Linked DNA regions of Danio rerio. The protein of the gene in region 5 interacts with the protein of the main gene of each other region in a pairwise test. Links are inferred from orthologs where the notes say so. Each region holds a gene or a part of one and is shown on either strand. Other genes may lie near its edges. The genes, in order: trafd1, ostf1, hoxc4a, gapdh, htt, tcerg1a and crmp1.

Region 1 (3,500 bases), on a different chromosome or scaffold from region 5:
AATGAGTTTCCTTCTTCTGTTAAACACAAAATAAGATATTTTAAAAAACTGAAAACCTGTATCTATTGACTTCTATTTTATTTTGGACAAAAATATACTACAGAATTCAATGGCTACAGGTTTCCAGCTTTATTATTTATAATTTTATTATATTTATTATATTTATAACAAGAATAAAAAATAAAGGTTTAAAACAAGTAAACCCAGTAAATGATTGCATAATTTGAGTGAACTATCCCTTTAAGGTTTCTAATTTTGACAAGTACTTTATGACTTGTTTCAAATAGCATGATATTAATATTGTTAACCATATTTAAAACGTTTTCCTTTATTATAGGTTGCTAATTACCAATCTTATCCTCTCTTTTTACAGGAACAGTGCAAATGTGGATTAAAAATAGAAAAAAGGTTCTTGGAGACCCACCAGGTACCATTGTGCATTATGAACAGCTATTCTTATGTTTTCATTAATGACTTCTGTAGATTTAACAACTTCTTGTTCCTCTCAGAGGTCAGAATGCAGTCATCGACTGGTCCCATGTCAGTTCTGTGATCTAGAGCTGGCCTCCTTTCAAGCTAAAGAGCATGAGGAGTACTGCGGGACCCGCACCGAGCCCTGTCCCGTCTGCAAGTGCAATGTTATGCTGAGAGAACAACACATCCATCCAGCCCTGTGCGGAAGTCTGACTCCACCTGAGGAGAGGCACAGTAGTAGGGCAGGGCCCCAGTCTCCTGGAGCATGGTTTGAGACACATTCCATCCATAACCTATTGAGGGCCCAGGAAAGGAGCCATAATAACAACAACACCGGGGCAGCAGACCGCAGAGGCCCACCACGACCCATTGAGGACAGACTGCATAACAGTACCAGAGGAACAGTGAGAGGAGGAACCAGGAGAAACACAGAAACGAGGAACAATGAATTTGCTTATTGTATGTATTATTCATCTTGTTTTATTAATTATTTAGAAACAACATTTAGAGTAAAATTCATGATATATTGGTTATCTGCATATACTAGACTCTATCTTAATCTATAGCTTTAATTGTGTATGCTTATTTCTGCCATATCAGTTTTTCATAGCAAAGTTGCCACAGAACAACTTCTGAACTCACAACCTGATGTCTTTTATACAGCCATGGGTTGCGGAAATGCTATTAAACATAATTGCATGCTGTTATACTAGGTACTAAGGTGGGTCAAAGCAAATGCCTTGCTTTTTATGCTGCATTGTGCCTGTATAAAGAATTTTAGGATGCCACAGAGCAGCCTTAATTTTCCTACAAAAAAGCCATACATCTGCTTTAACTGCTTTGCAGACTTTTTTTTTATCCAGAGCAACTTACAAATGAGGAAAATAGAAGCATTAAGACCAACAATATGTAGTTGCTGTGACAAGTCTCAGTTAGTCAAGCACAGCATTTTAACACAAAATTTGAATGAATGAACGGAATTAGAAAATAATGTGAAAATTGCGAGATCCAGCTGCTTGGGTCAAGTTAGGCTGGTCATTCCACCAGCAGAGAACAGTTAAGGTAAAAGTGATTTTATGGCTCTTTGGCTGGCACCTCATGAGCAGAATAGAAGCTTCTGCAGTAGACAGAGGTCTGAAGTAGTGAATTTAGTTAAAAGGTATCACAGCCAGTTGTTGTATTATAAGCAAACGTCAATGGCTTAATGTGACGTTTATGAGTGCCAGTTGGCAACTAGTGCAAACTGATGAACAGAGCTATGACCTGCAGTCTTTTCTTTAACTTCCACTCTTGCTGCCACATTTTAAATCAGTTGACAATAATGACTAAAAGGACTGCCAGGAGTGCATTACAATAATCCAGTCTGGACAGAACAAGAGCTTAAGCAAGGAGTTGAGTCGCATGCTCCAGAAGATCTCTCCAAAGCACAAATTATCCATCATCGACAAGCTATCCCTGTACCCAGGGCGCATCCCCTGCACTTAGTCAATGTCATTGTGAGCATTTATACTTCTGCTTTCTGTCAGCGTTACATTGCAATAACACTTCTGAAATTTAGTTGGCAGTTTGGTTTCTATGCTCCACTGTGTGAAGTTTCTTTGCCGGCGTTTACTCTGGAAATGCGTGGGATGCTGCTACTATAACAATGGTTAAAACTCACACTCATTGTGGGAAGAAAGTGGCGAGAACCAGCATTTGTTTAAAAACTTCATTCACAAAATAATCAAAACAAAAAGTATCCATTTTTATCTCCTACGTTACAGCAAAGACTATAGAACACACAAGCCATGTCACTCACATCTTTTTGAATAGGGTAAAGTGTAATAGTCACTATAGTGAATAAAGTCCACCTTCTAGTACAGTAGCCAATTATCGATCGCTATATGACGGATAAAACCCACCTTCTTGTACAGGAGCCAATCATCGATCACTATAGACTGAAGATATTCCGGGGGAGGGGTTTGGACCAGACGTGAATTTCTGCAGATTTTATGTGATTAGACGTTTAGAAATGAAACTAAAGAGACGGATGTTGTTTAATTTTATTGGTGATTTCTAATATGAAATTCAATGGTAAGCTTGGCAAGCAGTTTTGGAGAATTTGATGTTTCTCCATTCAGACAGAATGCACAAGCATACTGCTCGAGAAGAGTTTCAAAGATGGCTGCCGAGTGAAATACCTTGCCTTAAAGGGACTTTAGTCATAGTCACTCCACAGACTCTTTACAGAAACTGTTTAATGCCGCTCAGGTGGTGTAAATACTGTACGTTGTGAGAAAGTGAATAATTTGAAAGCTAATATTCTGAATATTGTGTAGGCAAAATGCAATAGCAGTTTATCCCTACAATAAACAATAGGTTTTGAATGCGTTTCAAACCTACACCAGAATATTATATGAAGTTTCATAAACTAATTTCGAGAGGAGCACGTGATATGATTGACTGCAGCCGGCCACTCATCTAAGCTCATTAGCTAGCCAATCCGAACGATCCAAACCCACTATAAATAACCTAGCTAAAATGTACACCCCTATCTTCGTTTTCCGAAGAAGCACAGAAGGACGGACACAGCTCCTCTTCAAATCCTCAAATCTTCATCTACCATACCATCGCCTGCGACATTAACTTCAACCTAGACCAACCTACTACAAATCAACAACGACAGCAACAACAAAACTCAAAAAATTCAACGGACACGCCATCATCAACTAAACAACAACATCATGGAAAGAGACGATACACCCGCTCCCCTAGGAACACCAGCACAAGGACAACAAGCCCCAACCGGAAACCAAACAAACACCGAAGCTCCCATAAGAGGCAGAAGACCCATCCGCTCTACAGTTTCAAGGACCCATCGCCGTACACAGTCTCCATCCCCCATAACCCCAAACCGCAACTTACCTTCTCCATCTTCATCATACGCATCTGCAAGATCCTCATCCCTCATCTCAAATAAAATGACAGTCGCCGAACTCCGTCAGACCATTACAAACGCCGGTATATCCATCCCCAACCGCTGCAAC
Region 2 (3,500 bases), on a different chromosome or scaffold from region 5:
TGGTTTAGGCACAAGCCAACAGTTTGGTGACGCTGTCTGAGCCTTCATAATTTTTAAAAATATGCAGGGTAATACCGGATACCGAGGTAAAATAGGGAGGAGGTTTGACGGTATCAGAGTTTGGATACCGCCCAAGCCTACATTCCATTAGGGTTGTCTTGATACTGGAATTCGATACCAATCAAACATTGAAGCGTTTTAAAGTCACGTAAATCAGCTGGTTTGTCTATAAGCTAACATATGAGCGATCCGCTAAAGAATCACGCCTTTAAAATCCAGTGTGCCGGTATCTGTGGTTACACCAAAGAGCATAGAATCACCAAGTGGCGACACTGTTGTTGTTTGGGAAACAGCCACTAGGTGCCACTAGTGTCCATTTGTGTCCAGCGGTGGCCATTTTGGAATGAAAATTCCAATAGAACAGCAGCATATTACATGTCTGTAAAATAAACTATTAAAAGTGCTGATGATTGTGATAGTAAGTGTTTTATTGTCGTATTTCAGGCTGAATCTCAGCTTTAATGTGCTTTTTAAATAAATACATAAATAAATAAATAAATAAATAAACAAAAAACAAAGCAGCTGCTTGCCATTGTGACAGCAATGAGATACAATGGACAACCGATCGCTTTCACTCCAAAATGGTGCAATCACAGGGCTGCTGCTGGGTACTGCTGTTGCAATGGAATGTTCTATTAAGTGTCGCTTCTTGGTCATTCTAAGCTCTTTGGTTACACTCAGTAAACAGCGGTGAGTTTGGTGAAACAATGACCTTCACGGCCAATCACAGTCATTTCTGTTGAGCATGTGAACACAATGGCAAATCAGCGCTGTTTAAGATCCACACGCCCAAATGTTTGCGGGACATAGACGCTTTTAAACTTTTTGTACCGATTGATATCGAATTGCAGTATCGAGACAACCCTGTATTCCATACAAAATATGAAGCTGACTGGTCAGATCTTGTCACTTGACTCACGGTGTGCACGTGGCATTCTTTCAACTAGGAGTGCCTGGAAAGTGTGTGTGTTGCGTGCCTCTATTGGTAATAACGAACTTGTGCGCACAAAACACTGGATATGTGAACGGCCCTTCAGCATTTAATCCAGTGTGTGTGGGTATTGTGTACAAGCTTATAACTTTACACTCGTGCACAGCTGGCATAAATTTTAGTGGCAGCAGTTTTGTTCTGTGCAGAAATGCCTTTATGATTAATTAACCGTGACTAATTAAAGTACGGTTAATAGTGAAACCAGTTAATCGTTGCTTCCCTAATGGGGTGTACTCACTTATGTAGAGCACTGTATATGTTTTTCCTAATATGGAATGGGTTTTTTTCCAGCATAATTAAAATACATTAGTTTTTGGGTGAACTATCCCTTTACAGGTTTCAAACGGTCATGGAAAACCACGAAAAGTCATGGAATTTTGACATGACATTTTTCAGGCCTGGAAAAGTTTTGGAAAAACAATAAAACCCATGAAGATTTGGAAAAGTTGTGGAAATTTGTTTAACAAATATCTGTTTATTTGAATATAGGCTAGTCTTTGTCATTGGCCAATTCCATGGTCTTACATTATCAGTGCTGTGTAAGCAATATCTAAATAAATTTTACATAGACATAAATGTTAATTTAAACCAAGTAGATGGGGCTTTATTCTGCTGTGGCGAACCCTGATAAATCAGGGACTAATCCTAAAGAATGAACGACTAAAATACTAAATGAATAAATTAAATTTACTTTAAAGTGTTGGAAATGTCATGGAATTTTGGTAGTAAAAATGTGTATGAACCATGCCTTAACAGGTAGATTATTTCGTCTTTTATGACCAAAACACAGGTCACTGGGCCTGAAATGTGAATTAATTGCTTTAATCATCAGTCATGATCTGTTATTTATCTGTGTTTTAAACAGGTCAGGTCAAGGTGTACCGGGCTTTATTCACCTTTGACCCAAGGACGGTGAGTTCATCTTTTTTTCTGCTTGATTGAACATTGTTTGTTTCAGTTCGTCTGATTTGTGATTTGTTTTCCTCTTTTTCAGCCGGATGAACTGTACTTTGAGGAAGGTGATATTCTGTATATCTCAGATACGGTAAGTTTATGATCTGATACTTCATGAAGTTATGAAGTACTGTTACTTCCTCTTGTCATGATGGAGATAAACAGCATTATATTCATCAGAATTTGTAGCAGTGTTTGTGAATTTGTATTGACTGCTGGGTTTATTTTGTTTAGAGTGACAGTAACTGGTGGAAAGGGACATGCCGGGGAAGGACTGGTCTTATTCCTAGCAATTACGGTAAGAAAAGCAAACTACAGTAGTCAACTTTTAAAGTGGATCAAAACCTTTACATCAAAGTCGTCTTAAAACTATTTAACAACATCCATTCTGACCTTAGGAGACTTTTGAAAAACTTTTTTGATCCACATGAAATGTTGATTACAGTAGATCCTGCTAACCATCAACCCTTTAAACGTAATGCTTTAGTGAATGAGATGACTTTTGGGAAATGTAAGGGATAATTCACCTGAAAAATAAAAAGTTAATTTAGGGTCTATTCACTCCAGGAAAGTTTGTTAGTTCACTTGCTTTGGTCATGACCAAATTTTGAATTAGTTTATTTTTTCATTATTTGATGCGGTTCGCTTTCATACTGCCTAGAATGAACCAGAAATTGTAAACAAAACCACATTTGTGCTAAAGACAGCCATTTGTACGCTTATTTCATGCGGCCGCCATTTTACAAAGAAAAAGCAAGGCTGCAGTGGGAAGAAACCTGGAAGTATTGGATGCTGGGGTAAGCATCAGTAATATCATCCAGTTAAGTTTAATTTAAACAATTAAAAGCATATTGGGTATCAAACAACACCATAATCTCTTTAAAGTGCCATGAAATCCCTGTCTCAGCAGGATGTTTTCATGCCTCTAGTTTGGAAAAAGTCAGGAAAGTTGGTGTGTCCAGCTCTGTTTAGGTGGGAGTGTTGGGGGAGGGAAAGAGGTTAAGATTTTGCATAAAAATGGGAGTTTCTGTTTGGGCACGTGCGGATTTTCACAGAGGCAAAACAAACACACAGACGCAGGAGAGAAAGACAGTGACTGAGTTTACATGGACATCAGTAGTCAAATTATTTGCCAAATAATTAATTTGTTGACTTTAACTGCAGTTTGGCACTTTCACTTTCATTCAGGAACATTTCATGCATGCCCTTCGTAACAAACGTGATATGGGATGCGAGTAAGAACTGCTGGAAGAGTGTAGCTTTGATGGAATGTTTGATACCACACGTCAAATGAGAGAAGAAAAAAATAATCTGCATTTCCCGGTAACTTAAATGTACTCGGTAACATATCGTCAGAAAGCTGTGTGTAAACTGTAACTATCAAACTAATGTGACGTCACGTTGTACTCGCCGGTACAGACATCCAGCCCTGTGCAGAGACTATCTAAGGGGCATGTGCAGGATAAAATTTCTGAAGAGCGGGGGCAATTCAGAT
Region 3 (3,691 bases), on a different chromosome or scaffold from region 5:
TTAAAATGAGCCTTTTGAATACTGGAATGGGTCGTCAGAAACATTTTAGCCATGTTGAGAGAAGTAAATAATAGCAAGAAATCTCTACAATAGAAAGCGGTAAGGTCCCTAAACGAAAAGGCCAGAACTGGGTGCCACATTAATCGAATACGTAGTAATGTGATGGGTAGTACACAACCCAAGCTAGTCTAACCCATACACAAACCAAACATGAGGCTGCGTTGCATGTATTAGAAATGCTATGGCAGAAATTAAATGGCTAATTAGTTTTCTGCAATAAAGCATGCAGCACACACACTCGACACAACTGGCGTAGATTATTTAAAACATCACATTGTTTTTACATTTGGGCCTACATTTGTCTATTTAAAAAGATATACATTAACCGGAAAGTATCTGCATCATCTTTTAACAATTACAGAGAAAAAAGTGATCGCCAATTATTCGCGGAAGTGTAATCTTTAAGCATATTAATAAAAGTCACCCAAGTCTAGGTTAAACTAATAGACACTTACGTTTTATTGACCAATATAATTAGCACAAATACACTAAACTGGTTTTATTGCATCTCACAACAATCTGCTGTTAATAGCCTAAACACAACGCCATCACAACAAAAACTAAATGATAATTTAAAAATCTTAACCTTTCCATACGACAGATAACCCACAGCATGATTTACTTTTAAATAAAACCAACAACAACAAAAAAAAAAACCTTTAAGATCTTTTTTCTATCGATACTCACGATAGCATTTTTCATTTACAGTGCAAAAAAGAAAAACGTACCAGCTCTCTCAAGTGAGAAATAAATAGATTCGTTGTGCACTTCACCTTGGCAGCTGGGCAAAAAGGCCCACGAATAACATTTGAATAAAATGTCCATAACCTGCTTCGCCCTAAACATTTCTCTTGAAAAAACATATAACAAAAACAAACATCATATTGATTCAGTTTTAGATAAATTAAACCCTGTGTCGCGTAAAAAATAATCCATAGGTATTCGCAATAATCCATGCTATATAACATGCATTTTATATAACTGTGGACTTAAAGGAACCCCCTTTACGCACAAGATACCTACGAAAACAAAATATATTATATTTTATAAATAATCAGTCATTTGATCTTGCTTTCTCTCCTCGAAATAGTTCTCTTATAACCTTGTAATATCCTCGCCACGCTCGGTTCCGGAGAGGTCCTCGGATGCTGACATGGTGTTAGTGGTGGAAGCTGCCGCCACAACGCCAGCCGCTGAGCTTGTGTTGGACCCGGAGGAAATGCCCGTGGAGGACGAGGATCTGACTTTGGTGTTTGGCAGCCTATGGTCTTTTTTCCACTTCATCCTTCGGTTCTGAAACCAAATTTTGATTTGCCTCTCCGAGAGGACCAAGGAATGAGCAATCTCGATACGTCTTCGCCGTGTTAAGTAGCGATTATAGTGGAATTCCTTCTCCAATTCTAAGACTTGCTGGCGAGTGTAAGCAGTTCTAGACCGCTTGGGTTCCGCTCCATTGTAACTAGAGTTGACTGGAAAGAGGAGAAGCAAAGGGAAAGAAAGAAAGAACAGAATAGAATAGAAAAAGAAAAGAAGCAGCGAGGGAAGGATAGGGTAAACAAGCGTGTCTTTCATTGAGAAATGGTGGCGACAGAGGAAATGAGGGTGGGCTAAAACATCTAAAAGTTAGCTTTCTGTAATAAGGCTAAAATCACATTGGACTCAGCACTGAATTATTAATGCAACATTATAAAGCTTAGTTTTTCTCTGGTCCCAGATCTCCCTCACTCTCTCGCACACTCATAACAAGAGAAGCCACATGGTGATACGACTGCCCAGAGTATACCTCGGCTATAAAATTTATGGTGGGTGTAATTACCAATGCCTAGTCGTAAATCCGCCTCAATTGTGCCATTTCAAAGGCTTCTATCCTATCGTAGCAGAGGCTGGCCAGGGGATGAGTGTAAAAAGGAGTGAGGCAGACGGAGAGAGAGAGTTAGGATGAGGGGCGAGCTTTATAGTGCTTAAGAGAAATACACTCAAGTTGCCTACCGGTGCTGACGTGAATTTTCTTCATCCATGGGTACACTACGGGTTGTTTGGCAGAGGCTGAGCTGTTGGGATGCTCCGGGGTGGCTTGATTGCAGGCGGAAGATGCAGCCGAAGGGGTGGCAGGAGACAGGGGTAACGGTGGGGGCTCACATGAGGCTGATTGCCCTTTTCCAAGCAGGTGCCCCGCGTGAGGCAGTCCATGTCCTCTTTGAGTATCAGGCTCAGGGATGCTTGCACAGTTATACTGACGCTCCTGGTAGCTTGCCCGCGGAGGGTATAACTCCTGGTGGTGATGCTGGTAGCCACTGTCCCTTGCACGGCTGTAATATTCTGGGCTATGTTCGGGAATGTAGCTATTTTGCGAATATTCCTCGCAAGGAGGAAATTTCGGATCGATGTAGTTAGAGTCCATCAAATACGAGCTCATGATCATTAATTTCTGGAGTGGAAAATAATTTTTCTAGCTTTGTCGTTTTTCTGCTCCATAAAGCCCTCCTACTAGCGAGCAACCCTGTAAAGTTACTTTTACCACGTGATTCGATGGCCCAATGGCATGGGGCGATGTAGTTCCCGGATAAGGAACCACAGCTTTCGCAAATATACCTTCAATTTTCCGCCATTGTCCGCGGAGTCTCCCAGTCTGTCTATTCCTCTCTCTCTCTTTCTCACTCTCTCTCTTTTTCTCTCTCCCTCGCTCTCCCCCTTTTCACTTTCCCACTACCGCATACACAATGGAGAAATCTTCTCGGATCAAGCCAAAGCATCCAGGGATATTTCTTAGTTAACTTACCTGTAAGAGTTTAACTATTTATACAATTTAATAAATAAATTTATTTATATAATATAAACGACAATAATATTAAAAAAGCAATCATTCTTAAACTTATAGGACGAATCGAAGGTATTAAAATCTACTGCCAATAATTACACTACATTATCCAATGCTTTTATAATACTATATCGTGTAGGCAAATATCTGCAGTACTATCAGTATTCGCTTCTATGCAAGGGAACAGCAAATTTCCAAATTCAGTGACTCATTTTGCATGATCTCCATTTCTTATTTTTATTTATTTTTAGAACATAGAAAATCTGCATTACTTTTCATTGATACAGTTTATAATTACGATAAATACGACTATACATGATAAATGCATGTGGTGGTAGATACGTTGTTTAATTAAGCTACAAAAGCTTAAGAATAATCTTTAAAAATGGGTGACATACAGCATATTATGAATTTTACGTCCTGTCTAATTTTGGCTTAGTATTTTCATTAATTTCTTGAGCAATTCTGCTCATTTAAACTTTTCTATTTATTATGGTAAGCACCACACACGACTTTCATGCAAAGTCACGTGCCTCAGACGGACGAATACAAACCCAACTTGGCGTTCGTGGCTTTTACGTCGCCCATGTATTCCTGTAGAGACGTATTTGCGATTTTGATGTTTTGGACACAAATTCGGTTCTACAGGGTACATATAGACGACTACTGACAGGCCCTTCTTTTACTGGAAAATTTAAAAAACGGAATACAACGAAATTAAGGTTATGTCCGGTTAGCATGTGACCTTTATCTTAAACATTGCTAAATAATATTATTGGGAATATTTCTGTCTGGCATTTCAAATAGTTGGTC
Region 4 (4,076 bases), on a different chromosome or scaffold from region 5:
ACCCTTAATGTGAGCCTACCAGGAGAGCAAAATTTCAGTTACAGAAAAACAATTGTTGTTGCAGGCAGCTTATGTAACATCCATGATTACGTACAGAAGCCTTCTCAATAGTAGTGAAGACACCAGTAGACTCCACAACATAAGTAGCACCTGCATCACCCCACTTAATGTTGGCTGGGTCCCTCCTGTTTAGGCAGAGATCATGAGCATAGCCCAATGCTTGCAAAAATAATAATAATAATAATAATAATAATAATAATAATAATAATAAAAACCATGCATAGTTTGGAGGAACCGCACTCACTCGCTATAGACTGTGATTGCATGACCATCAATGACCAGTTTGCCGCCTTCTGCCTTAACCTCACCCTTGTACTTTCCATGGGTGGAGTCGTACTGGAACATGTAAACCTGTGAAGAAACAAGCACTATAAATATATTCAAAATAACCCCAAAACTAGTTAAATAAAAAAAAAAAAAATTAAGGAACTTGCCATGTAATCAAGGTCAATGAATGGGTCATTGATGGCCACGATCTCCACTTTCTTGGTCAAGAAAGCAGCACGGGTCACCAGACGGCCAATGCGACCGAATCTGAAAAAAAAGCTCATTCATAAACACTTGCTTTCATCTCACATTAAGAAAGAAAAAAGAAAAAAAAAAGAAAACAACCGCAGTCAGGCAACTTATCCACTAGATGGCAGAAAGGACCCATTTCTGAACATGCACAAAGTCAAACATTGTGCCCTTGTGAGCGCAGTAACTCTGGGTCAATTGGAGAGTGGGAGCAGACAGCAGTTAAATAAATTAATTTTAAAAAATAATAATAAATAATAATAATAAATAATAATAAGTAATTAATAGTATTATTATTATTATTATTATTATTATTAATAATAATAATAATAATAATAATAATAATAATAAACCAAAAATATAAATAAACTCTGGGGAAAGTCAACTATGTGCTACAGGAGATTAAGAGCTAGATCATGAAGAATGGGCTTTTGGATGAATGATCTCCACAAATATTTGCCCCAGCTTCATAGAGGCATGTCCTCCAGGCAAGGATACAAATTCCATAGGCCTCCAGCTGCCATTGTGAGCTATTTTAGTACATCCAACAACACTGCACAAAATGCAGAGAAAGAAGGACTGACCCCACAAGGAGTTCCAGAATTCCCTTTTTGTTTATTGCAACACTCAGCTGTACATTCAATCAATAGGTCAAAGAAAGCAGCCTATTGATACTGCGATAATGATCACAGTACATACTTTCATGCACTGATAAGACACTGATATGGTAGTGGTACACTTTCAAAACATTTGCATCAAGTCTGTAAAGATAGAGAAACAGGGCAAAGGTAAAAATTTCCAGTGCTCTTAGCAAATGTGGATTGACCATTTGTCCAGTGCCATTAGTGTTCAAATCATAAAGTCAAGTGACATTGTAACAGGCTTTAGAAAGGGATTTTGTATTTAAAGTTATTAATTTGATAAACTGAAGACCATGTCAAATTACTTGCATAATTGAAGTTTCATATAACTTTAGATTGTATAAACCCATGGCAAAAATGCAAAGTAGGCCTATTATAAATTTCTTGCTTGTAAAATGAACCAAGGCTACTTAAGGACACCACTGGGGTGAACTTGGGGTCATAACCTTTTGAGTGCCTAAAGACAGACTTCCATCTAAAGGTGGATATTTTAAGTCGCAAAAGACTTGTGCTGTAATTTAGGGTGCCTAAACTTCACAGCACAGTCCTGGATGAGCATTAAAGTTTCAGGTTGTGTGCACATGAACGATATGCATGTGTCCTGTACTGGTCTCTTCAGGATCAAGTTTCCTGTTACACAACCCAATAAGCTTTGAAAAGGTCACAGCTGGTGCTGGGGGTTTTTCAATGCAGAACACACAAGCTTGGATTCTTGAACCCAGAGTCCTGTACAACATGGTCTAAGTAAAATGCAGACTCGAAGCAAACTTTGAACCTGGAGTAAAATACAAGGCAAAGAAGCCAAGTACACAGATAAAAATTACCATTATTTGTCGTCATGATGACGTCAATGTACACAGCGATGGCACAACACCAATAAAGCAGTTTGACTGGCTGGCTTAGGTGACACCCCCTCCAACCATTCATTACAATCAATTAGAAAGTCAAAACTTAATACAACTTCCAGAAAGCATTTAACAGCAAAACACTAACAAACAAGCTTATAATAAAATAAAACTGATGTCCTGTTGTTCAAAACAATTAATAATAAAAGTTGCAAGCAGCCTAATGTTCATTTCTTTCATATTTGAATCAAATGGAGTACATACCCGTTAATACCAACTTTAACCATTATGCCTGATTTGGTTGTGTCCTCTGGAAGGAAAACAAAAGGTTGTAATTAATTCACACGTTATTATAGGCGTCTTTCGTTATGGGAACAAAGTACAGGTTGTGAAACTGCAACACCTCTAACTACAGATAGAGAGTGAACAAAAAGTTCATACACATTTGTAGTTCACAGTAGCCTGTTGTATTCATACTCAAGCATTTCCCAATTGGCCAGAAAATGTAGGCTAGAAGTTCTAAAGAGCATGAACTCTCAGCTTTCATTAGAAATGTTGCTCCATGCCATTAACATGCACATATATTTAAAAGTTGCTAACATTTGCAAAGGCTTCACCAGCGCAATCTGAGCAAAGACTACATAATTAAACACTAAATAATTCAAGCATTTGAAACATGAAATAACTAAATTTACCGTTTGTGAGAAGCCTCTGTTCGTCCTGACACTTGGTGTGAGTGGACTGATTACGAACACGAGGATAATTTATATCTGGTGCGATAGCATTGACCACGCCCCCTGGACTTTAGGCTATAAGTACCACGCCCCCTGGACTTTAGGCTATAAGTACCACGCCCCCTTAGAATGTCAAGGTCGTACTGGGGTACAGTGAATGAAACTACTACATCTACTGAATAATAATAATAATAATAATAATAATAATAATAATAATAATAATAATAATAATAATAATAATAATAATGATGATGATGATGATGATGATGGCATATATGACTGATGATGATGATAACCAAGCTTTGCTAGAGTATTAAATATTATATAACTAGTGACATATCAAAGTTTCCCTTTGTACTTTTTATGAAAGAAGCAATGACTATGATCGAGAATTATGCTTTCTCAAATGGCCATGATTCTGTAAGCACTTCAGTAATATGTAGTGCATTATGAGAAATAAATGGTTTGCAGGTTATGTATAAGGAAACCAGGCAGAAGTAATTTAGGCTTGTAACCCTATGCAATTTGTACACTGGCTAAAATAAATAAATTATTAAATAAATGTATTTAGTATGTATTATATGTATATTTGAGATGGTCTGTCCACTCTGACCTTCTAAAACTAGCCCAGACCGTGCATATGAAGCAGGAGATCAAATCGCCCTCATCATGAGTGTGTGACATTTACAGGAAAGACCATGACCCTTCCCTTTTACTCAGGCATTCCTGCATCCCACGATCCTTTGCATCAGTAGGAAATCCAATGCCTTTGTACCTACACAGATTCTTTGAGCCTTCACATGTGCATATCTGTGCAAGTAAATCAAATGCAAAACCAAAGTGGTTGTAGCATAACATAAACATTATCAAAAGTGACAAGAGTTTAGAGAGTGACAGTGTGCATTAATAGCTCTATCAAATTTGATTAATTACACTACAAATTTGCATACTGACTTTATGGTTTTATGAATTTGCATATTGAGTTTTGATTAATCACATTATAATCTTTCTGTTATCCATCATTCATGTTGGTTTTAATTATGTTAAATGCAGCTAACTTTTATCCCTTTGTCTGTAATTAATCACAGGTTTGTACTAGTAATTAACACAGACACTATTAGATCTTGCACAGAGGACAGACTGAAAAAAGATCCATGTATTATAGCGATTAGCTGTCAGTGCAATGTTATAAAGTAGCTCTCCACTTTTGTTGCAAACATGACTTGTAACAATGCAGTCTTTCTTTGTTTTGACTTATTTTTACTCAGTGTTGGTTTGTA
Region 5 (3,500 bases):
CAAATTACACATTTGATCAGTTCCCTGGGAATCAAACTGTGACTAGTTGAGCTACAAGAAGTCAGTGTAGCCAAAGTTAATGCTTAAACAATATAAATGTTTGGTGAATAAATAAATAATTATTGTATTCAGGCAGTTGTCACGGAAATATTCTTTAATTATAACTCGATAAAAAATTCAACTATAAATTGGAATAAATGTGACAATAAATATGACAAAAAAACTCCACTAGAATTACTAAAACTTTAAAAGTAAAATGAAAACAAAATAAAAATTCAACTATTAATAAAAGCTAAAATAGTCGCTGGATGATACTGAAATTGTACTTCTTACTACAGGTGTTTCAGACGCTTCATGCCACTGGTCAGTCCTCCATGGTCCGGGATTGGGTCCTGCTCTCACTGTCCAATTTCACACAGAGAACGCCTGTCGCCATGGCCATGTGGAGCCTGTCCTGTTTCTTTGTCAGTGCCTCGACCAGCCAGTGGATCTCTGCCCTGTATCCTTAAACAAATTATCTTTTGATTGCTGTAATTGATGCACCCCTTAGTGTGTAAATCTGTTTTGAAATTACATTACAACATTGTTTTTTAAACAAAGGTTTACTGAAGATATTGTCTTTATATGAATTCAGTTGTAAACTAAATTCTTGACCTATTACAGCTAATGCTGTAAAGCAGGGGTGTCAAACTCAGTTCCAAAAGGGCTGAAGCCCTGCACAGTTTAGTTCCAACCCTGCTCCAACACACTTACCTGTAGGTTTCAAACAAGCCTGAAGGACTCAATTAGTTTTATCAGGTGTGTTTAATTAGGGTTGGAACTAAACTGTGCAGAGCTGCAGCCCTTTAGGAACTGAGTTTGACACCTGTGCTGTAAAGTATAGATGAAGCTGCACTATTATTTTTTACATTAATATAATGATAAAGGGAATTAATAACAAAGGCCATATTAATCAATTATTTACTTTTATATTTGAATAAAATAAACACTCTGCAAACTGTTTTATGCTAACAGGTAAATTGCTCAAAAGGCAGTTTTTACATTTAAATCTAATTATAAAATAGAAGTTGTACTTTTTTTTTTACACATTATTCCATATGTCTTCAAAGTTATACATCTAATAACTATGGCATCAATAACAGTAATAAAGCCTTATTAACAAATAGGCTAATAGAGTTAAAAAAAATTTGAGAGATGTGCATTTTTTTACTCTATAATTAGTAGTGAGGAAGTAATGATTGACTTGCATTCTGCTGCCATTTGTAAATCGGGCATCAATATAGCGATCTGACATGCCACATCAAAGCATGTCAAAACAGTATTTATTGTTTGATTGTCCCTAATAAATTTGACAGAATTGAAAAGATTCTAAAGTAAAGCATCAAAATTAACAAAACAAGGCTTTTTGCACTTTTAGGACAGGAGGTGTGTCCTAGGGTGCTTTCACACCTAGACTTTAGTTTCAGAACCTGGTGCGTTTCCCCAGTTAGCATAATTCGTTTGGCATATTTGAACCCAGTAATAGCGCTCGGATCCTCGCCAAAACAATCGCCTGAATGGGGTGGTTTTGGCTCGATTGAAACGAACTCTGGAGAGGATCAATTGTAGTGAGAAAGCAATACGATCCAACGGACTAATAAACCAGGAAATATCTCAGTGTATTATGGTTATGTAATAAGCATATACGGCTATATGAAGAGAGCATTATGAGTAGGGCAGGATGTCATCATTTATACCAGTTTATGTGCGTTTCATGTCAATTATGAAAGTGAAAGCATGCTGAACTATTAATGAGAGCAGTTTATCCATTAGAAAAATTAACTCAACTGCAGTCTTGGTTTATCTGTTATTTCTCTCTAGAATATAAAGCCTGTAATGCATAATTTTAGCCAACGGCTATGTATTAGAAAATCTACATTTATATTTGGTGTATGTTTGTGGGTGTCACCGTTCCAAATTAAACCGCAGCTTTTTGCTTATAATGTCTTATTGTTTATTGTCACAGATTAAATAAGGACGCATGACAGCTAAGTGAGAGAGTTTACTTGCACGTGACTTGCTATTTTGGTCCTTTTAGAAACTTTGCAGAGTGAAAGCGAACCATACCATGAACAAAGTGCAACATTGTAACAATTTTATTCTCTGTTTCGGAACAAAACCGTCAATCTACAGGTGTGAAATAGCATTAAACATGCATATGATACCCAAAAAGCCTGCACCAAAAATGTATGAATTAATCTACTGTTACACCCCTACCTTGCACTGGTAACAGCACACTTCATGCTTTTCCATTTCCTCTTCCTCCACGTTTTCCTTAACTTGTTTCTTCCGCTGTAGCCTGCCTCATGTCATCAGCCGCATGGGGAAATCTGACACGGTGGACATTAGCCTCTTTTGCTTGGTCGCTATGGACTTCTACCGACATCAGATCGATGAGGAGTTAGACCGCAGGGCCTTCCAGTCTGTCTTTGAGATGGTGGCTTCCCCTGGTAGTCCGTATTACCAACTACTGTGCTGTTTGCAGAGCATTCACCAAGACACGTCTCTATAGAACAGACCAAAAAAAAAAAAAAAGATCAGTAGGATCACCATGGCAAATTAAGCATCAAAATGAAGGTAATATAACACCCAAGCAGAAGACATACACTCACCAGGATGCATGACAGACTTTGGATTGGATTTACAGAGTGGAATCGGTTGCTATGATACTCTCCGAGATTGCTCCAAATAGTTCATAGTTATTAGAGACAGTGGGACCAATCCAAGCAAAACTGCACTTTCACTAGTCTGTGGCCACAACGCACCAATGAACATCATTTATCTGTAATTAAAAATATAAGAAAAGCAGCACTACATTCAGAATATTCAACTGCTATCACAGTATGTGCACCTGGCCACTGAAGCGTTTTTCCTGAGCTGAGTTAAGTACAGGATAGGCATGCAATGAGTGTATGTTTTACGCTCATTGTTTTTCAAAACTTTCAACAGTCAGAGAAGCGATGGGCGTTTTTAGAACATCGCTCGTGTTTCTGCAGCACAAAAACGCTTCTGTGGACATGCGTCCCAAGTCATTCACACAGTCTATATGGATGTTTTAAGTGTATAAATTCTCTTCATGTGGTAGCAGAGAATGTTAAACTGTGGCTAAACTGCAGAGTCTCCATCTTTAGAAATGTAATGCAGTGAATTTTCAGCTGTAACCAATCTGATTAAAGAAGATATTGACATTTCTTAAAAACATCATACAGACGCTAGTTAAAAGTGTCCTGCGCTTTTGGACTTCCGCAGATACAGCATTAGATACTTTAGTCCTCAGAAATAGAGTAACTCCATGTTACTTGTCATCCGATTTCGCTAAGATCAGTACAACAGCCATTTCTGCCCTACTGTCTACACTTCCAGGACCCTCAGTTTGAAGTCATTCCTTTTGCATGGGCGACACATTGCTTTGCTCTGCGTTTGCTGACACTTGAAGTGAAAAAGGATTGTAAATTGAATTT
Region 6 (3,500 bases), on a different chromosome or scaffold from region 5:
TTGTGTGATTAGTCCATATATTGGCCATTATAAATGGTTGTCAGGATATGAGCTGAGTTATGTGGTCATATGTGATTTCTGTCATTAAAGTGTGTGTGTGTGTGTGTGTGTGTGTGTTCAGCATGTCCCAGCAGGCCGCTCTGCGTTTCCCCCCGGCTGTCGCTCCTCCTGCTGCTCCGCCCGCCCGCCGCCAGCCTCTGCTGAGCAGCCCAGTGCCGCCCTACACCCTGATGAGGAGTCCTCCGCCTGCTGCACGCCCGCCCTTCACACGCCTGCCCTTTGACCCCAGCGTGCCCCCGCCCATGGGCACACCGCCGCTGCAGGTGCATTCACAGGTACAGCACGCTTGCTCACACTTGAGGCAGAGTAAATAGTGAGTAAATGTGTTGTTTGTGAGAAATATTCCTTTAATCTGTGATTCGGGATGGGAAGTGAGGTTCTGACTGACACTGTGGCTCTTCTGCTCCTGAAGAGACCCCCATTCATGCCTCCGCCCGGAGGATCCATGCCTCCTCCACCCGGCATGATCTTCCCTCCAGGAATTCCTCCGTCAGTGGCTCCTGCTCCAACTCCTGCTCCGGCTCTGGCTCCTGCTCCCGCTCCCACTCCTTTGGTCTCCACTGAGGAGATCTGGGTGGAGAACAAGAGTCCGGAAGGAAAGGTATGGCTGTGGGTCTGCTTCATTAAAGGCCCTGTCAATTTCTAGAGTACTCAGCTGACTCTGTTTTACTAGAACTTCTATGTTAAGCTGTTTTGACACTATCTACATTGTAAAAGCCCTATAGTAATAAAGATGAATGGCAAAGTTTAAATATGTGTGTTTTTTTAGGAAGATGTTATTAGTCTTTATTATATAGTATTAGTCTGTTAGTCTTCAGGATATCTATGTGGCAAACAGTGGCAAAATTCACATGTAGATGATACAAGCATCCACGTCTCTTTCACCTAAATGGATATATATATATATATAATTTATTTTTATATATATATTAGTTTCTAATAGAATCTGACCAATCAAATGCTCTCCAGTGTCTGCCATGCCCCGCCCCCTCTCACCTGCTGTTCATTTGATGCACTTGAGCACTATGAAAGTGTCAGTAACCCCCTGCTGGTGTGTATTATTCTTACAGGTGTATTATTATAACGCACGCACCCGAGAGTCATCCTGGACCAAGCCGGAGGGGGTGAAGGTGATCCAGCAGGCAGATCTGTGTCCGCTGATGATGAGCCAGGCGGCTGTGGCGGCGGCGGGTGGAGGATCCACAGCTCCGTCCGTCAGCATCCCAGCAGCATCAGCAGTCAGCGGCTCCACAAACACACTCGCGGCCCCCAGCGCCGGCCCCGCCGTGGTCCCCAGCATCACTGCAGCATCCCCTCTGCTGCCCACACCTGCCACAGGTCACCTTCTGATGAACATATCATGCTGTAATATAATAAACATACATGCGTAATGATATTAACAAATCACCCAACACTCCTTGATTTGTTTACTCGTATACTTTATATAGATTTATATGAAGTAATAAAACTGAATGTATTAAATCCATTTTAAAATGTGGTTGATATTATTAGCCCCCTTAAGAAACAGTTCTTTCTGACTATACTGTTGTCCAATGACTTTGCTAATTACCCTAGTGAAGCTTTTACATGTCACTTTAAGCTGAATGCTAGTGTCTTGAAGAATATCTTGTCTAATATTATGTGCTGTCATCATGGCAAGCACTAATGACATTAAATTATTAAAACTATTATCAAAGATTGTCCACTGAACAGGACTGTGAGTTTGTCTCTGTACCGCAGCATCACAGCAGTGTTTATTGTAGGTGTGCTGTGTTGAGTGTGTGTTCTTGTGTTTGCGTCTGCAGTTCCAGATGTGGTGGAGATGCCGTCAGTCGTGACCTCTGCCCCCAGTTCCATGCCAACCCCAATGCCAGCTGTCAATCAACCAACGGTCTCGGTCGCCATGACAACAGGACCACCCACTCTGCCTGTGGCGCTGTCCCACACCGTCCCGCAGCCGGCCACTACAATCCCAGGATTCCCTCCGGTGATGGTGCCGCCGTTCCGGGTGCCGCTGCCTGCCATGCCCATCCCACTGCCTGGTGCGTCTGACCTCGGACCGCTGCTGCTCTCTCTCTCTCTCCTGTCTGTCTCTCTGTCTTCTCTCACCATCTAAACTCATCTGTAGATTAACATGAGAGAGAAGCAGCCTCTGTCTTCATTTACTCTGTGATCAGTTGAGTCTTAAAGGGACAGTTCACCCAAACACGTCATTTCTGCTGTAGTTTATTTACTCTTTACTGATTTTAATCTGCGATACAACAAACATCATATCATAATAATGATGCATATCATCATACAGTACCAGTTCTGTAAATAATATAATAGTTATTTTCTTTATTATTGTTTTATTAAATTATATTCATTTACATATTAGTGCTGGGCACAGATTAATCGCAGTTAATCACATCCAAAAACACAGTTTGTTTTGACAGAGAAAAAAATATTTAACAAAGAAAAAACAATTCAAAGGAGGCGAATAATTCAGATTTCAGTGGTATATTGACCACATGTAAAGGACTATTTTATTTTTTATTTGTGTTTTAAAGTACTCAGAAAACTTCTCATTCATATGTGATCATATTTCTCACTTAATTCAGAACTTAATTTAATATTTATATTAAATATATGTATATTTACTATTAATCTAAAACACTTTTTTTTTTAAATGAATGATTACAGGTCCAGCATAAAAACAAAAATCTGTCTGAATAAAATGCAAACTCTCAAGACTGCAGCTTTCTCATGATGCAGTTATTTGTATATCGCACTCACGTAAATTATGACCTATTACTGTAAACAGTGTATATATGACGTAAATGATAGATAGCCCACGATGTTAATCAATAGAGCTTTTCTGCACATATCAGCATATTGCTCAGGCCCAATTCACACCTTTAAGTATTTCATCTGTTAAGCACAAAACAAGATAGTAAGAAAATGTGGTGCACCGGTAATCATTGACCTCCATAGTATTTGTTTTTCTACTATGGAAGTGAATGGTTTCAGCATTCTTCAGAATATCTTCTTTAGTGCTGAACAGAATACAGGAACTCATGAAGGTTTATGAGCACTTGAGGGAGAGTAAATGTTTGTGTGAACTGCCCCTTTACCTGCTGTGTTAGTGAGGCCTGTAGATGGCAGTGTTTTCATGCGGAGTGTTTCCAGGATCTCCTGGAGCTGTAGATGACGTATGTTTGTGTGTTTTCCAACACTCTGCTTGCTTATACGCTCTTCCAGGTGTAGCAATGATGCAGATAGTCAGCTGCCCCTATGTAAAGACTATCTCTCCTACCAAAAACGGTAATTCCCTCCCCGTTATGGCATGTTAGTAACTGTTGTGCATCTTTTCATTTATCTACAATTCATTCAGTCAGATCACCCACCTGCTATTGAAGATTGTAGTGAGCAACAGCTTGTTTTTAAAGTAATGATATATA
Region 7 (3,500 bases), about 29 Mb from region 5:
GCCTTATATATAGCTCCAAATAGTGTTTACCATGCTACTCTAAATATTCGCTCTGAAATAGCATGTAAGTATGGCTTAGTAAGAAGTCCTGTACACCGCCGGCCAAACAATAAGCATTCAGTAGTTGCTTCAGGACAGCGCGTGAGAGAGTGAGTGATCCTTGCATGCATGAAATATTGCACATTGACAAGTTTTGCTTGCTACACAACTGAAAATGTGCTAGATATAATACAGTTTTGTTCAGAATTGTAGTATTATAAAGGACTATAAAGTTTTCTAACTGGTGAATGACATGATCTAGTGGGCCTCTGTCATCTTTGATGAGCATGTTCGTGATTCCAGGAGGTGTGGCTGGAATGGCAGGGGAGGGAATGGGTTTCAAACATTATGCTAACCGGTTAGCATTTAGGCACCTTTAATTTTGACACATTTCTTTTTTTTTAATAAGAAAGTAATTTGCCCTTATGTAGAAAATGCTTCTTGATTTAAGAATTTTTAGATAATATAATATATATTCGGTGTATAATACATAATAATACATATATATATGTATAATTATATATATATATATTATATATATATAATTAATTTCTTGATATAATTAATTAATATCTGTAGTTAATGAATTGTAACAATGATGTTTTCTCTGACCTACAGTCTGCTTCTGTAGAATCAGTCTATTCTGTTCACACTCATTTAAGTTAAATCAATGTGACATCTTACTAGACAATTGCAGTATCTAGCAAAACTCTATTTTAAAAGACTTACACACCCCAACCGTTAAGTTTTGGATGTATTCTCTTCACTGCACCGGCTTTAGGCTCTGTTGTTTTCGGTGAGCCAATCACAGCCAGCTTGGCAACAGACGGATCTCACTATTGGAGCAAAAACTGGGCAAAAGCGGCAGCGTATGTGACCTCTCCACCCCTCAGCCCTGACCCGACCACACCAGAGCATCTTCACTCTCTGCTGGCCTGGTAAGAACATTTGGACTTATTTCAATCATTGTGATAGATGCAGCATAACACCGGATCCTTTGGATGAAGGCCACGACTGACATCATTCAGCAATTTTCTATCTACTCTCTCGATTACTTCAATGCAACACCCAAACCAAAACCACAGGCACACCTTTTCCTGCCCCCGTTTCTAAAAATAGAACAGGCTTTCATCGCTTGTTACCATGGTTACACAGCACCCTCCTTCTCGCTCCCCACCACACACACACACACACACACACACACACACACACACACACACATAACTTGTGGACTTGCAGGCTGCTACTATGGGAGAAATGTCATTATGCTGACATCCACAGCCACACAGAGGCAGACTGACACAGCTGGAGAGAGGACATTTATTTTTAGCATAGACAGATTAGCGGAGCCCAAAGATTAGTGAAAATGCCTGAATATTTCTAGAAAAGAATGTTCATTTATTGTTAAACATATGTATACTGTGAAGACAAACTTTAGTTGTGCTGTATTACTGTGAAAAGTGCTAAACAAGTCAACTTGAATTATATTGTGTAGATGTGCACTGTTGCAAAGAAAATTTCATTTCTGGATGATTTTTTCTTTATTTTATCATTAAAATGGTATTATTAACCAAATTGTTGCATATTATGTCTTATATTTTAGTAAGTTAAATTGTTTAAGCTGATAAATTGAAATTATTTTAAAAGATTGGTAATTTAATGGTTAGCCTACATGACTGTAACTCGATTCAGATTGCTCAGTAAATACATCTATTGTATCTGTCGTTGGTGGAAATATCTTAAAAATAAATACAGTGCTCAGCATAATTGAGTACAGCCCATTTTGAAAATGAACATTTTTCTCCATTTCTCAGTAAATATAGGCAATGTATTTTGGTGCATTTGAACAAAACAGATTTGTTAAACAGATAAATTTATTAACATAATATTTAGCCGCCAAACTTATTTAAAAATGGGAAGATAATACAATTAAATTTAGGCAAAATATTGCAAAAATAAATGACAAACTACACAATTTCAACTAAATTAAAAAAAAAATTTGCTTCTCTTAATTTTTCCTCTTTTGTAAATTTGTATTTAATATTTTCTATCACATTTGAACCATTATTATAAGTTATTATAATGTTAGATAAGCTGCTGATTTGGCTTCAGTACTGACTAATCTAATGTATATGCCCAAATATAATATTGTATAGTCTCCTATTAAAATATGAATTTAAAAGATAGATTTGTGAGGGGTGTACTCATATATGCTAAGCACTGTATGTTCTGTCTCCAAAATAATAGCAAAGCTGGTAAATCAAAGGATAGATGAGATGTTCGTTGTCATTTTTGTAATATTCATCCAATATTTAATCAATCTAGGATTGCAATAAATTGTTAGCAGTGCAATTATGATTACATTTTATTTGATGAAAAAGTACTTAATGTAATGTATTCATAATAATATATTAATATTTATAATTTAATTAAACTTAATAATTCAATAAAGCCTTATAATAATTATACTAATAATTCGGCAAGAACATAAGGTGACAGTAGACCTTTTATGTTGTGAAAGATTCACATTTAAATGAAATTATCCTTTTCAAACCATTCATCAGAGAGCTTGTTCACATGAATACATTTCATCTAAAAATATAGTAAAATAAAGAAATTTTAATAGTGTTTTACAATATTAATTTTACAGTATTTATGATCAAATAAATGCAGTCTAAAAAATGTCTCTAAACATAATGTATATTTCCATGACCATGACATGTTATGCAGCCTCAAATATAAAAAATAGGTCACAAACAAAAAATCATCTAGCTCTGGAAGACCCCATAAATACCCTTGTATTAATGAAGCGTGTTAGAATATTTTTTTCTTTGTTATTTATTTCTAAATCCAAGTTTTTTTTTTTTTTTTTTTAAAGAAATGAACTCATTATACTCAGCAAAGCGTGACCAGAAATATTTTTTCAGAAGATTTAACATATATTAGTAATGTTAAATTTATGTATTCCAACTTATGTATTCAGTTATGTATTCATTTGTTTGTGGTTTTTAATTGTATATTTTTAATTAAATGTTTTTGCATTGCAAATAGCAGTTGTGGCTAACATGTCATAAACTATGATAGGATGATACATGACATCTTATGATATGATATATGATATGATATATGCTATGATATGATATATAATATAGTATGATACGATATGATATATTTCTGAATAAAACAGCATTTCGAACTAGAAAAAATATAATGGCTTGCTATTGGTGGATCTCATAGTGACAAGTTGTCCTGCTCTCTCATCACTAATCACTCACTCAGCCAACTGTGTTCAGAGATAGCAAGATAACACATGATGTTTCACAAACTATGGACGTTCACAAATAAATGGTTTATAATAAATACTGCAGGATTGCAAAAAATAAAAACTGTGACCTAAATGTTGTTTTTGCAGTGGGGATCTGCAGGTTGTGGGCAGTGGACATTGTGCATACAGCACTTCT

Evidence for each region.
Region 1: the proteins of htt (region 5) and trafd1 interact in binary tests that used the Homo sapiens proteins (3 or more experiments, as listed by UniProt). The link is inferred for Danio rerio from reciprocal best matches to the Homo sapiens genes HTT and TRAFD1.
Region 2: the proteins of htt (region 5) and ostf1 interact in binary tests that used the Homo sapiens proteins (3 or more experiments, as listed by UniProt). The link is inferred for Danio rerio from reciprocal best matches to the Homo sapiens genes HTT and OSTF1.
Region 3: the proteins of htt (region 5) and hoxc4a interact in binary tests that used the Homo sapiens proteins (3 or more experiments, as listed by UniProt). The link is inferred for Danio rerio from reciprocal best matches to the Homo sapiens genes HTT and HOXC4.
Region 4: the proteins of htt (region 5) and gapdh interact in binary tests that used the Homo sapiens proteins (3 or more experiments, as listed by UniProt). The link is inferred for Danio rerio from reciprocal best matches to the Homo sapiens genes HTT and GAPDH.
Region 6: the proteins of htt (region 5) and tcerg1a interact in binary tests that used the Homo sapiens proteins (3 or more experiments, as listed by UniProt). The link is inferred for Danio rerio from reciprocal best matches to the Homo sapiens genes HTT and TCERG1.
Region 7: the proteins of htt (region 5) and crmp1 interact in binary tests that used the Homo sapiens proteins (3 or more experiments, as listed by UniProt). The link is inferred for Danio rerio from reciprocal best matches to the Homo sapiens genes HTT and CRMP1.

Annotation. Positions count from the first base shown.
Region 1 is NC_133180.1:29,388,727-29,392,226, forward strand, and holds part of trafd1 (TRAF-type zinc finger domain-containing protein 1), read left to right. Parts: intron 1-373; coding exon 374-427; intron 428-509; coding exon 510-933; exon of another isoform or gene 934-2,874; intron 2,875-3,500. UniProt on the Homo sapiens protein: Negative feedback regulator that controls excessive innate immune responses. Regulates both Toll-like receptor 4 (TLR4) and DDX58/RIG1-like helicases (RLH) pathways.
Region 2 is NC_133180.1:7,429,989-7,433,488, reverse strand, and holds part of ostf1 (osteoclast-stimulating factor 1), read left to right. Parts: intron 1-1,916; coding exon 1,917-1,963; intron 1,964-2,045; coding exon 2,046-2,096; intron 2,097-2,239; coding exon 2,240-2,303; intron 2,304-3,500.
Region 3 is NC_133198.1:39,234,219-39,237,909, reverse strand, and holds hoxc4a (homeobox protein Hox-C4a), read right to left. Parts: upstream 2,491-3,691; 5' UTR 2,483-2,490; coding exon 2,050-2,482; intron 1,530-2,049; coding exon 1,156-1,529; 3' UTR 501-1,155; downstream 1-500. UniProt on the Homo sapiens protein: Sequence-specific transcription factor which is part of a developmental regulatory system that provides cells with specific positional identities on the anterior-posterior axis.
Region 4 is NC_133191.1:17,266,832-17,270,907, forward strand, and holds the start of gapdh (glyceraldehyde-3-phosphate dehydrogenase), read right to left. Parts: upstream 2,801-4,076; 5' UTR 2,758-2,800; intron 2,373-2,757; 5' UTR 2,350-2,372; coding exon 2,327-2,349; intron 595-2,326; coding exon 495-594; intron 412-494; coding exon 305-411; intron 186-304; coding exon 95-185; intron 16-94; coding exon 1-15. UniProt on the Homo sapiens protein: Has both glyceraldehyde-3-phosphate dehydrogenase and nitrosylase activities, thereby playing a role in glycolysis and nuclear functions, respectively.
Region 5 is NC_133176.1:44,384,649-44,388,148, reverse strand, and holds part of htt (huntingtin), read left to right. Parts: intron 1-338; coding exon 339-499; intron 500-2,256; exon of another isoform or gene 2,257-2,337; coding exon 2,338-2,551; 3' UTR 2,552-3,500.
Region 6 is NC_133189.1:58,551,654-58,555,153, forward strand, and holds part of tcerg1a (transcription elongation regulator 1a), read left to right. Parts: intron 1-121; coding exon 122-335; intron 336-472; coding exon 473-661; intron 662-1,130; coding exon 1,131-1,398; intron 1,399-1,865; coding exon 1,866-2,102; intron 2,103-3,500. UniProt on the Homo sapiens protein: Transcription factor that binds RNA polymerase II and inhibits the elongation of transcripts from target promoters. Regulates transcription elongation in a TATA box-dependent manner.
Region 7 is NC_133176.1:15,740,466-15,743,965, forward strand, and holds part of crmp1 (dihydropyrimidinase-related protein 1), read left to right. Parts: intron 1-820; coding exon 821-977; intron 978-3,451; coding exon 3,452-3,500.